Linked DNA regions of Schizosaccharomyces pombe. The protein of the gene in region 1 interacts with the protein of each later gene in a biochemical or structural test. Each region holds a gene or a part of one and is shown on either strand. Other genes may lie near its edges. The genes, in order: sap145 and prp11.

What was found.
Region 2: the proteins of sap145 (region 1) and prp11 form a complex in vitro, tested with the Schizosaccharomyces pombe proteins (one study listed by BioGRID).

What each region holds. Positions count from the first base shown.
Region 1 is NC_003424.3:4,803,699-4,808,054, reverse strand, and holds sap145 (putative U2 snRNP-associated protein Sap145), read left to right. Parts: upstream 1-1,635; 5' UTR 1,636-1,667; coding exon 1,668-3,425; 3' UTR 3,426-3,542; downstream 3,543-4,356. Other genes in the region: phosphoinositide phospholipase C Plc1, read right to left, coding at 1-269; rRNA processing protein Rrp16, read right to left, coding at 3,562-4,356. UniProt on the Schizosaccharomyces pombe protein: Involved in pre-mRNA splicing. May be involved in endoplasmic reticulum-associated protein degradation (ERAD) and required for growth at low and high temperatures.
Region 2 is NC_003421.2:517,958-523,693, reverse strand, and holds prp11 (ATP-dependent RNA helicase Prp11), read right to left. Parts: upstream 4,183-5,736; 5' UTR 4,155-4,182; coding exon 1,110-4,154; 3' UTR 797-1,109; downstream 1-796. UniProt on the Schizosaccharomyces pombe protein: ATP-dependent RNA helicase involved in pre-spliceosome/complex A assembly and mRNA splicing. Bridges U1 and U2 snRNPs during pre-spliceosome assembly and enables stable U2 snRNP association with intron RNA.

The DNA.
Region 1 (4,356 bases):
GTACTCAGAAAAGAAGATAAAGAATTTGATCGTTTACGTAGAGTACTATGAGCATCGCGATCCCTTGATGATAGCATCTTAAAGAAATCCTGCTCCGATTTCTTCCTATTGCCAACATATGGGAGATCCAAAGCAGCATTATCTAAGGTTTTACTCCTCGTCTGAGCAACTGCGTTTTCTGAGCAATCGGGCAGGCAAAATGGACTTACTGCTCTGTTGGAGTCTCCTAAGTTGACCGATTCAGGCGACGTTACCATTTCACAATTCATTATGATATCTATTTAAGGATTTACACCGCCATTGGCTTTTTGATCATTATGTTGATATTTAAAAGTTCTTCGGTTTTTCGGTTTTCATTCAGCAACAATACGCCGTGTATGTGTCAATAAAGATAAGTGGATAGCACTCAAAATTGCATATGAGCATAGATTCAATCCACCACTTTAAATCAAGTAAGCCTGATATTATTATAGGGACAAAAATTAGTTGTTTTCGGAACTTTTACCTCTTATATCGTAGGAGCTTACATCCGAGACTTTTGTTAACGTTAGTGGCAAGCGCGCTTTGGTTTAATACGCAATTATGAATAAGAACGTGTTCAATCACAGAAAATCGATTATCGGAAACGCTGTGACTATCACTAAGATGAATTGCAAACAATCGAGTTCGAGAAAACCGTTGGGCTTTATTCAATTGATCTGCGTTTTTGTTCACTCATTAAAAGCCATTTCTCTGAGTATTACTATGAATGGTTTTTTTCTGTTTTATTTTACACTAAAGTGATGATAGAAAAATTAATTTATCAATTAGTAACTAAATATTCGATTGCTCATAAGGAACTCACTGTTCATGTTAACGAATGAAGTTTAATATCGTCGGAAATTAATAGCCTCTCAAACATTTATTTCTTATACTGGTTTATTTTGTTCCCGATTAAAAGTAATGTAGATAATTTTCTCGGAACGTTTCTAAGTTATAATGTGTTCAGTCAACATAGTCTAATGGCCTAGTTTAAACTCTCATCCAAATAATTCTGATAGAGCAAGAACTTGGTGCAATTAAACTAGTGCATATCGACAGTCATTTTTATTTTATCAAACCCTAATACTTACCATTTCAGTAACTTAGAAGGTAACCTCAAAGCATCAACACCTTGAGAATCGTTTGAAGCAGTACTTAGTTTATTGAAAAAATTTGGCAAGGTTAACTCCTAAAGGCGACTTCACAACCATTTATAGAGAAGAACGAAAAATTCCAGATTGCAAATAAGGTGTTCATAGTATTTGCAGGCTTGAAACAACATAAAATCGATTTGGTCTTTAATGGAAACAATCAGAACCTTATTTACAACATAGGAATGAAGAATTACAGTAGCTTAATAATATGTTAATGTTTTAAGAAGTTGTTGTGTATTGCTGGAATTCATGGAAATAGTGTTACTATCGCATTTTATTATTGCAATATATTGTTACACGTTAACTCAACTATTTTCTATTAATTACAGTAAGAATAAGGACCCGTTCATCATGACTATTGCTAGTATTTTTTTTTACAAAAAATCTTCAGTAAGGAGGATACTCGTTTTTTGGGTGGTAGTGTTTTGTTAATACGCTCCATGCATGTACTTGTTGACACGTCCAAAGCATTGTTGCTTAGATTTTTTGTTAATGGCTGAAATACAGACAGCTCAAAATCCTTTAAAGGAACTGGAGAAAATTTTAGAGAGGAATAATAAGCAAAAAAATAAAAAGAGCAGAAACCAAGTTCGTCGAGAGAAAAAAAAATTACTACGTGAAAAGACAAATTCTGGTGCTAAATTGGCAGAAAAAAATAGTGATGACAAGGACCAGTTGACTGAAAATAATGACAACCTATACAATGATAAAAAATCTAATGGAAACTTCTATGATACAAACAAAACTGATAGTGTTGACGGGATGGTCTATACTACAATCGTCGATTCTGTAGAATTAGATCCTAATGATCCGCTAATAGAGCAATTTAAAGATGTCTTTAATCGTTTCAAAGCTGATGGTCAAGAAAAAGATTTCGAAGATACCGACAAGGGCCAAATAATGTATTCTGACGATGAAATTTTGAGTGAAGGCGAAGAAGACGCTTTACAAAAACAACAGGAGGAAAAACTTAGTAAAAAGAAATTGAGAAAGTTAAAAAGGATGACTGTTGCTCAACTGAAGATGCTCTCCGAGAAAGCAGATGTCGTCGAATGGTGGGATGTTTCGTCGCTTGATCCTTTATTCCTCACACATCTAAAAGCATATCCTAATACTGTTCCTGTTCCCCGTCATTGGAACCAAAAAAGAGATTACTTGAGTGGCCAAAGAGGTATAGAACGTCAACTCTTCGAGTTACCCTCGTATATTCGTGCTACTGGCATAGTTCAAATGCGTAATGCTGTGCATGAAAATGAAGCTGATATGCCTTTGCGTCAAAAAATGCGTGAGCGTGTCCAACCAAAAATGGGAAAGCTTGACATTGATTATCAAAAGCTTCATGATGCCTTCTTTCGCTACCAAACAAAACCGGTGCTAACCGGTTTTGGCGAATGCTATTTTGAAGGAAAAGAATTAGAAGCTGATGTGAAAGAAAAGAGGCCCGGCGACATTTCGGAGGAGCTCCGTGAAGCCTTGGGAATTGCTCCAGGAGCACCTCCTCCTTGGTTATTTGCTATGCAGAGATACGGGCCTCCTCCAAGTTATCCAGATCTTAAAATTCCCGGTGTGAATTGTCCAATTCCGACTGGAGCGCAGTGGGGATTTCATCCTGGTGGTTGGGGAAAACCTCCTGTGGACCAATTTAATCGTCCTCTTTATGGCGACGTGTTTGGTAATGTCAAACCTCGAATACATGCTGGTACAGGTTCGCCTGTGAGCACTCAGCATTGGGGTGAATTGGAGGAGTTTGAGGAAGAAGAATCTAGTGAAGAGGAAGAGAGCGAAGACGTAGAATATCCTACTGAAGAAATTACTGAACGTGAAACGATTGAGGAATATCAGTCAGCGTCAGAGCCTAGGTCACAGAGGGAAGATTTGCATGCAGAGCCCTTAACGTATTTTAATCAATCTAATGTAGAGGTTGACAATGTTGAATTACGAAAAAATACTCAACCAAGTAGTGATGCTGCTAATCGAGACTTATATCAAGTTTTACCTGAAAAATCTACTAATATCTCAGGTTTCATGGGTCCTCAGCATCAATACGACATTCCTACCGCTGAAGATACTCTTCCACAAAAAAGGAATGCACATTCCATGCTCTCATCAACCAACAAAGGAGATGTTGCGTTAAATCAAAGTTCTAATTGGCAAGATGAGCTTTCGGAGTTGGTGTCTGAGCAGGCTATGAAGGTTGGTGCTGCGAAACGACAGAAAACACAAAGCAAGAGAGACAAGTTTCGTCTTTAAATTATTATCTACAGTGTACATTAGTTAATCTATATGACAGTATTATTGTTAAGCTCCATACATTATTCAAGTATTAATTATTATTTGTAAGTGAAAATAAAAAAAACCCCAATTTATACCCTAGCTAAAATATATTTTATATACTGTTTTTTTGAAGATGGAAGTCTTTGTGACTATATTTTTCCTTGATCTTTGCACGATACTTTGATTTCTTCAATACTGGCAAAGATGGAGGAACCATTGCTCTTTGTTGTAAACTTAAATAGCGATCGGCAAACAAATTTCCTTCAGGCTTCAGCTCTCTAAGGGAACTAGTCAGCTCATCTCCCAACTTTATTTCAAGTGGGTTGTTAGGCAATCGATGTTTACCGAATTTTTTCTTCTTCAGTTTGATTTCAGTTGTGCTAGAAGAAACAGCCTTATTAGAGAATTTCTCAGCTTTATCCTTTTGCTGCAGTTTTTTGGATATTGCAGGAGCTTTGTCGATCGTCCTCAGAAGCTCTTCATTTTTCTTTTGCTCAAGTAATCTAAGCTCCTCCTCTCTTCTTTGGCGTATCTTATTTCTTTGAGACCTGGTTTTTCGTTTGTTCTTCGAAGAAGGGATCGGAGTTTCTGCTTGTTCGTGTTCAGACTGGTCATCAGAATCAATGCTGTGATTAACGTCTTGGTCTGAAACTAATCCCTTGTCTTCAAAAGCTTTCTTCTGTATTCTTTCCTTTTCCTCTAATTCACTAATTCTTTTCTGTTCTTTCTTAAGTTCCTCTGAACCTTTGGTATCAAGTAGCTTCATCCAAGCTGCAGCGTCAGGATTGTATGACATTCCTGGATCAGCGATAACAACATTTGGGACTTTTGCATTATTCTCAGTTAAAGATTCGGGTAGTTTAGATAATGTAGAAGGTCTTTTAACAGGTATAGTAACTGTTGGGTT
Region 2 (5,736 bases), on another chromosome or scaffold:
TTTTGCCTGTAGTTAATGAACTATAGCTAGAACAAATAACTTCAAAAAAAAGATAAAAGGTAATCTTAGCTAACTTTCTATGAGCTACTCAAGTTTTGTTTAATATCTCGCTAAAATAAGTAGTGTATATAATTCATGAAAATAAGACATTGCACTTTGCCGCATATGAGACGCAGTTGTGTTTAGGTCAGCGCACCTATTAAATAATTAACAAATGTAAAAACAGGATTAAAAAGGCAAAAAAGAAAGAAAAGAAGGAGCCTACAGCACCCCGGATTCCCATGTTGTCTCCAACCATAGTACTAACGAGGCCCTCAGACGCTTAACTGCAGTGATCGGACGGGAACTGGTGTTTTCGCCTAGGTATGGCCGTAGACAATCTACGTTTACTTTAATGCCCTTTATAATAAAAAAGAAAATAGTAAAAAAAATAAATTTTTGCATTCATTTAATACAATGTACATCGAAATTGTAATTATATAACTTGATGCAGTGTTAGTACAATATAGTTCGCATACAGTTAGTTTGTTTAGGTCTTATGCAAATAGTCGGAGAAAAATTAAATAATTGAAGGTTTTTACTTCTACGCTAAAAAATTCTGATTTTTATAATTTTAACTTCTTTTAAACCCATCAATCATGAAATCAAGCATTCACTGACAGAACCTTTTTCTCAAATAAACAACTATGGGATTGATTGCCTACTATTTGTGTTTAGCACTGATAATTGAAGGCCAAAAATTACATTTTATTTCTTCTCTTCACAAAAGATTAAATTCAACCATTAGTTTATTGTTTACTATAAATACTGTGGATTACAAAAAGCAAATACCCTAACACTATTTCAGGAAAGCAGTTGGAAAAGTACTCGCTTTAAAAATGTGAATAAAATCATTCTTTCCCGCTTTTACTTTGCGATGAAAAAAGATACATGCCTTAATTTTCATGCCAAAATCCATATATGTTTAGTTAAAATAATAAATATTGACATTTCTAATCATTAATTTTTCATAACCACTTTTGCCCTTCCCCAAAAAAGCACGTAACGTATTCAATTGATTAATTTTAAACGAGTGTAGGTCTCTTTTTCAAAAGGATAGACCGAAAGTACTAGACAACTGTGTATCGTCCAGAAGCACTTGGTTTGTTACCTCCTTCCAAACTGTGGTTAATTCCTTCAAGAAGAAGCCGTCTCAATTCAGTGATGGCTCGGTTAACAACAAGCTCAGATGGACCTTCAATCCACAAGTACAACTTTTCCTCTCCTGGTTCAGGGTTTTTACCTGGCAAGTAGAAATTACCCTTAGTAGTGATACTTGTGCCAGTTAACTCCGTTACATGTACAATATTTGTGTTATTAGTAACGGCCCAACGAGCTTGTTGAGGATAGTCATTAATTTCCATTTTAGCTTTATACTCATCACCATCGGTTTTTATTATAGAAATTGGCTGAGTAAGCTTGTTAGATTGTGCAGTTTGGTTGGCAAATGCACGAGCAGCAATTCCACCCACAGCAGCACGAACTCTATCGAGCGTGGGATCACCGGTAGATTTTTCAGGAGTAATCTTTTCCAACGGGCTTTTTGCTTCAGCTTCAGTCTCTACATCTTCCTCGTCCTCACCATAGGCCTTACGCTGCATTTTACGCTCAGCATTTCGAGTTTCATCCAGTCGTGATAACCCTTTGCCGCCAAAACCTCCACCCGCTGCTTTCTCTTTACCAGCCTTAACTTTCTCGAGGAATTGGGAAGCAAGAGTTTGTAGTTCTTTTGGAACTGGTTGTTTACTCATCTTTAAAGCCTTGGCAATGTCTACGGCGTACTTTTCCTGTTCTGGGGTTATAAAGGTAACAGCTACACCAGTATGGCCAGCACGGCCTGTACGACCAACACGATGCACGTAATCCTCCATATGATTAGGGCAATCATAATTTACCACCAGCTGTAAAGATTTAACGTCAAGCCCACGAGCAACTACACTAGTTGCGATTAATACATCAAATACTCCTGCTTTATAATCACTGATGGTTGAGTCGCGATCGTGTTGATCCTTACCGCCATGAATTGAATTACTTGTATACCCGCGTTTCATAAGGTCCGACAAAAGTGCATCCGCAGACTCTTGTCTATCCACAAAAACAAGTGTACGTACATCAAGTTGATTGTTGTACAACTCACCTAACAGCTCTAATAGCCGAGAAAACTTGCTTTCCTCAGGCCGTACTTCAACGATTTGCTCAACCTCAGAAGCAACAACCGACCGTCCGCCAACCGTAATCTCTACAGGTTTCTTTAAAACTTTCCTTGCAAGGGCTTCCATAGCACGAGGAAAGGTAGCTGAAAATAGTACGGTTTGCCGATCAGGTCGAATATTGTTAATAATTCTCATGACTTGCGGTTCAAATCCTAAATCAAACATACGATCGGCCTCATCCAAAACCAAATAAGTGCAGCGGTGTAAGTTAGTAACACGTCCTGCATTCGCACTTAAAACATCAATCATACGTCCAGGAGTACAAACTACGATTTCTGCACCGCGTTTTAAATCAGCAATTTGGTCTTTAATAGGGGCACCTCCATATGCACAACACGCACGAATGTTCAATAACTTTAAGAAAGGTTTACATTCGCGAAAAATTTGCACAGCCAATTCACGAGTAGGAGTCATTATTATTGCAATAGGACCCTCTCCTGTTTTTAATGGGCGCTGATCTTTGATGTGTCGAAACATAGGAAGAAGAAAAGCAATGGTTTTTCCACTTCCTGTTTTAGCTACGCCAATTACATCTCTGCCAGAAGTAATCGCTGGAATTGCTTGTGCTTGAATAGAGGTTGGTTTTTCGTATCCCAAGGAATTGATCACGCTTATGGTTTGGGCAGATAAACCACATTGACTCCAACTAGTAACTGGCTTCGGGCAATCAATACCACGAATTTTAATACCATCTAAAGAAGCCCGTAGTTCATCAACTTCAGCTGGTGACAGATTTTTGAGCTCTTCAGGTTCAACATAGAAATCCTTTTTGAAATCTTCATAATTTATTTTTGAGTGATCAACTGTGATTACGTCTTTCTTTTTTGATCGTTTTGCAGCAAGAGCAAGTAAATTTTCTTCCTCTTCCAAAGTCTCTGAAATTACCATGCGCTCGTCATCGTTTGCATTCGGATCAATGACCTCCGTATTTAATAAACCAGGCCTTATGGTATCAGTGGTACCAACCAAAGAGGCCATGTAAGCATCTAAAGGATCTACTTCGTCTTCCTCCATGCTAGCTGCTTGCTCATTTCCTAGCATACCCCGGTCTTCTTGGTCCCAAAGCTCCTGGTAGTCTTCAAGATTCATACGCCTAGGACCATCTTCATCATCCATGTGAACTCGGTTATTTCGCTTCATATCCGAAGTATCTTTTTGGCGATTAATCTCAAACCCGGATATACCAGTTGAAGGCATAGCATTCTGGTCTTTGGCTGTAACCTGCGGCTTTGTATTCAACTTGTGCTCCTCCTTCTTGGAAGCCTCCTGTTTTGCCTTTGACTCTTTCCACGCTCTAACTCGTTCTAGCCTGGCGAGTAGCTTAGCATCCGTAATTTTGTCTGACGCTACTGGCTTTTCAGCATTTCGTTGATGATTATTTTCAACAGCTTTATCCTTGGGAATTACATCAACTCGTGGATTTTCAGATTGAATTTCTGAAACACTTAAAGAAGCACCAACTCTCTCAGTTCGATCAAATCGAGAACGTCTAGGCTGAGGCTTTATTTCAGTTGCGGAACCTTGTAATACAGGATTTGTTTCATCTGATTTAGTTTTATTGTCTACTTCTTTTTCCTCAGCATGTCTATGAGATGTTGGTCGCGGTGACCTACCAATATACTGATCGGGAATATTCTTTGATCTCGCATACTCTCGATCTCGCTCTTGATACCTTTTTTCGTAACTATACTTATCATGCTTCCAAGAATTATCTCTTCTAATTTTATTAGACTCGTGAGAACGAAAAGAATCATGCCTATCTCGTCGACTTGATACATCGTCTACGTATCGGTTATACCGTGCACCCTTTTGATCTTCAGAGTCATCATATTTTCGGTAATCTCTTCTTTCTCTATTGTAGGATCGCCTTGGAGGCGACCTTGATCGTGTTCTTCTAGACATCAAAAACTGGGTGTTGTGATATGTACACGAAGAGTTTTAATGAGGCAAGTAAACGACATAAATTACTTTATATAGCAATATATATTATGCATATGATATTAGTTCACTACTAGATATAATTTACATTATTATAGTTAACCTCTTTATGATTATTTATACAAGTCATATGGGGTTTATTAAAAAGCAATGAATTTGCCAGTTAAGTCGGTAAAGCAACCTGAATTCTGTGCAATTTATAAATCTTAGAAGTAATATTCATTTTTTATTTCAGTTATTTAAAATTTAATTATGGTTCCCTACACTGGACCTTCAACTTAACCAGTAAAACTCGGAAAAATAATCAACACTGGTATATAAGTAATTTTTTCAACACCGCTTACATTTTGATTGTTGCTGAATTTTTATTGCTTTTGTACTAAAGATAATATCGGAAAACCGAGAAATAAAAGACGATAAAAAATTTTATTGATTGGCGAATAGGCGAGTTAGCTCTTTTTATTTACAATATTTCTTTTTTTATGTAAATAACTATTGGGGTTAAGGCTTGGAATCCACAATTCTTGATTACTAGTAAGGTACTCTTTCAAATGTCTGTTAAACAGTCATCTACAATAGAATGTAATAAGTCAGATAATTTAGAGCGTACATAAATTAAGAAAAGCCATTATTTCCATTCCAAAAAAGAAAAAAAAAAAAGCATAATTGAAATTTACATAATGTTATACTTTTTCTATAATGTTTATGTTTTTGCGCTCTTCGACCAATAATATTGACTTAGCAGAAAACCAAAAAACGAAAATTCTTTAGTAATGCCAAATGAAAGAGAAAATTATTTATGTGTATATTTATTTTTATTTTTTTTAAGTGTATTTTTTCGCCATTTACTCGATTTAACAGTGATAGTATTAATAGCTGGCATTATTTTTCTGGTATTGCTTTATAATTTGATATACTTAATACTGGGATAATTGTTTTTAGGATGAGCAATGGTTATACGCATGTAATGAAGTTAGAAACCGACAGCAAATAAATCTTACATTTTGAAAGAAAATTTAAAAAATATGGTTGTCCAAATACAAGCGATGGGATACCCCAACGTGAATACATGGAAAGATTGAATGTAGAGTATCTAATTAAGGAGAATTAAGCTAAGGCATGAACTATGCCCGAAACTGAGCAATGGTTAAAGAGTATATTAAGTAATTTATTTTACCCAATATATTGAAACTAGTTTAACCTCTAGTTGGTATGTATAGTTGGTTGCTCATTTTTACTGATTGCTGTATTCCATTCACTCTTTCATCTTTAGGTTAAATATTTGTATTTGGTTCTCCTTGGATACTTTTATCAGTTGGTAATCATTTTTAAATTCATTGTCTTATATAGGATTTTTGTTTTGTACAGATTCTTCCTTTCATCATCCTTGAGAGTCTCTTAACTTCACGATCCGCCTAAATTCCTAAGAAGGAGTCTATCTCATGCTACTGTTTTTTATTTAACACATTTGTGAACGGAAATAGAAATAGAGTTGATTATTCCATCCAAATTGGAAAATTTTCGCATCAAAGTATTTAACAGCTTT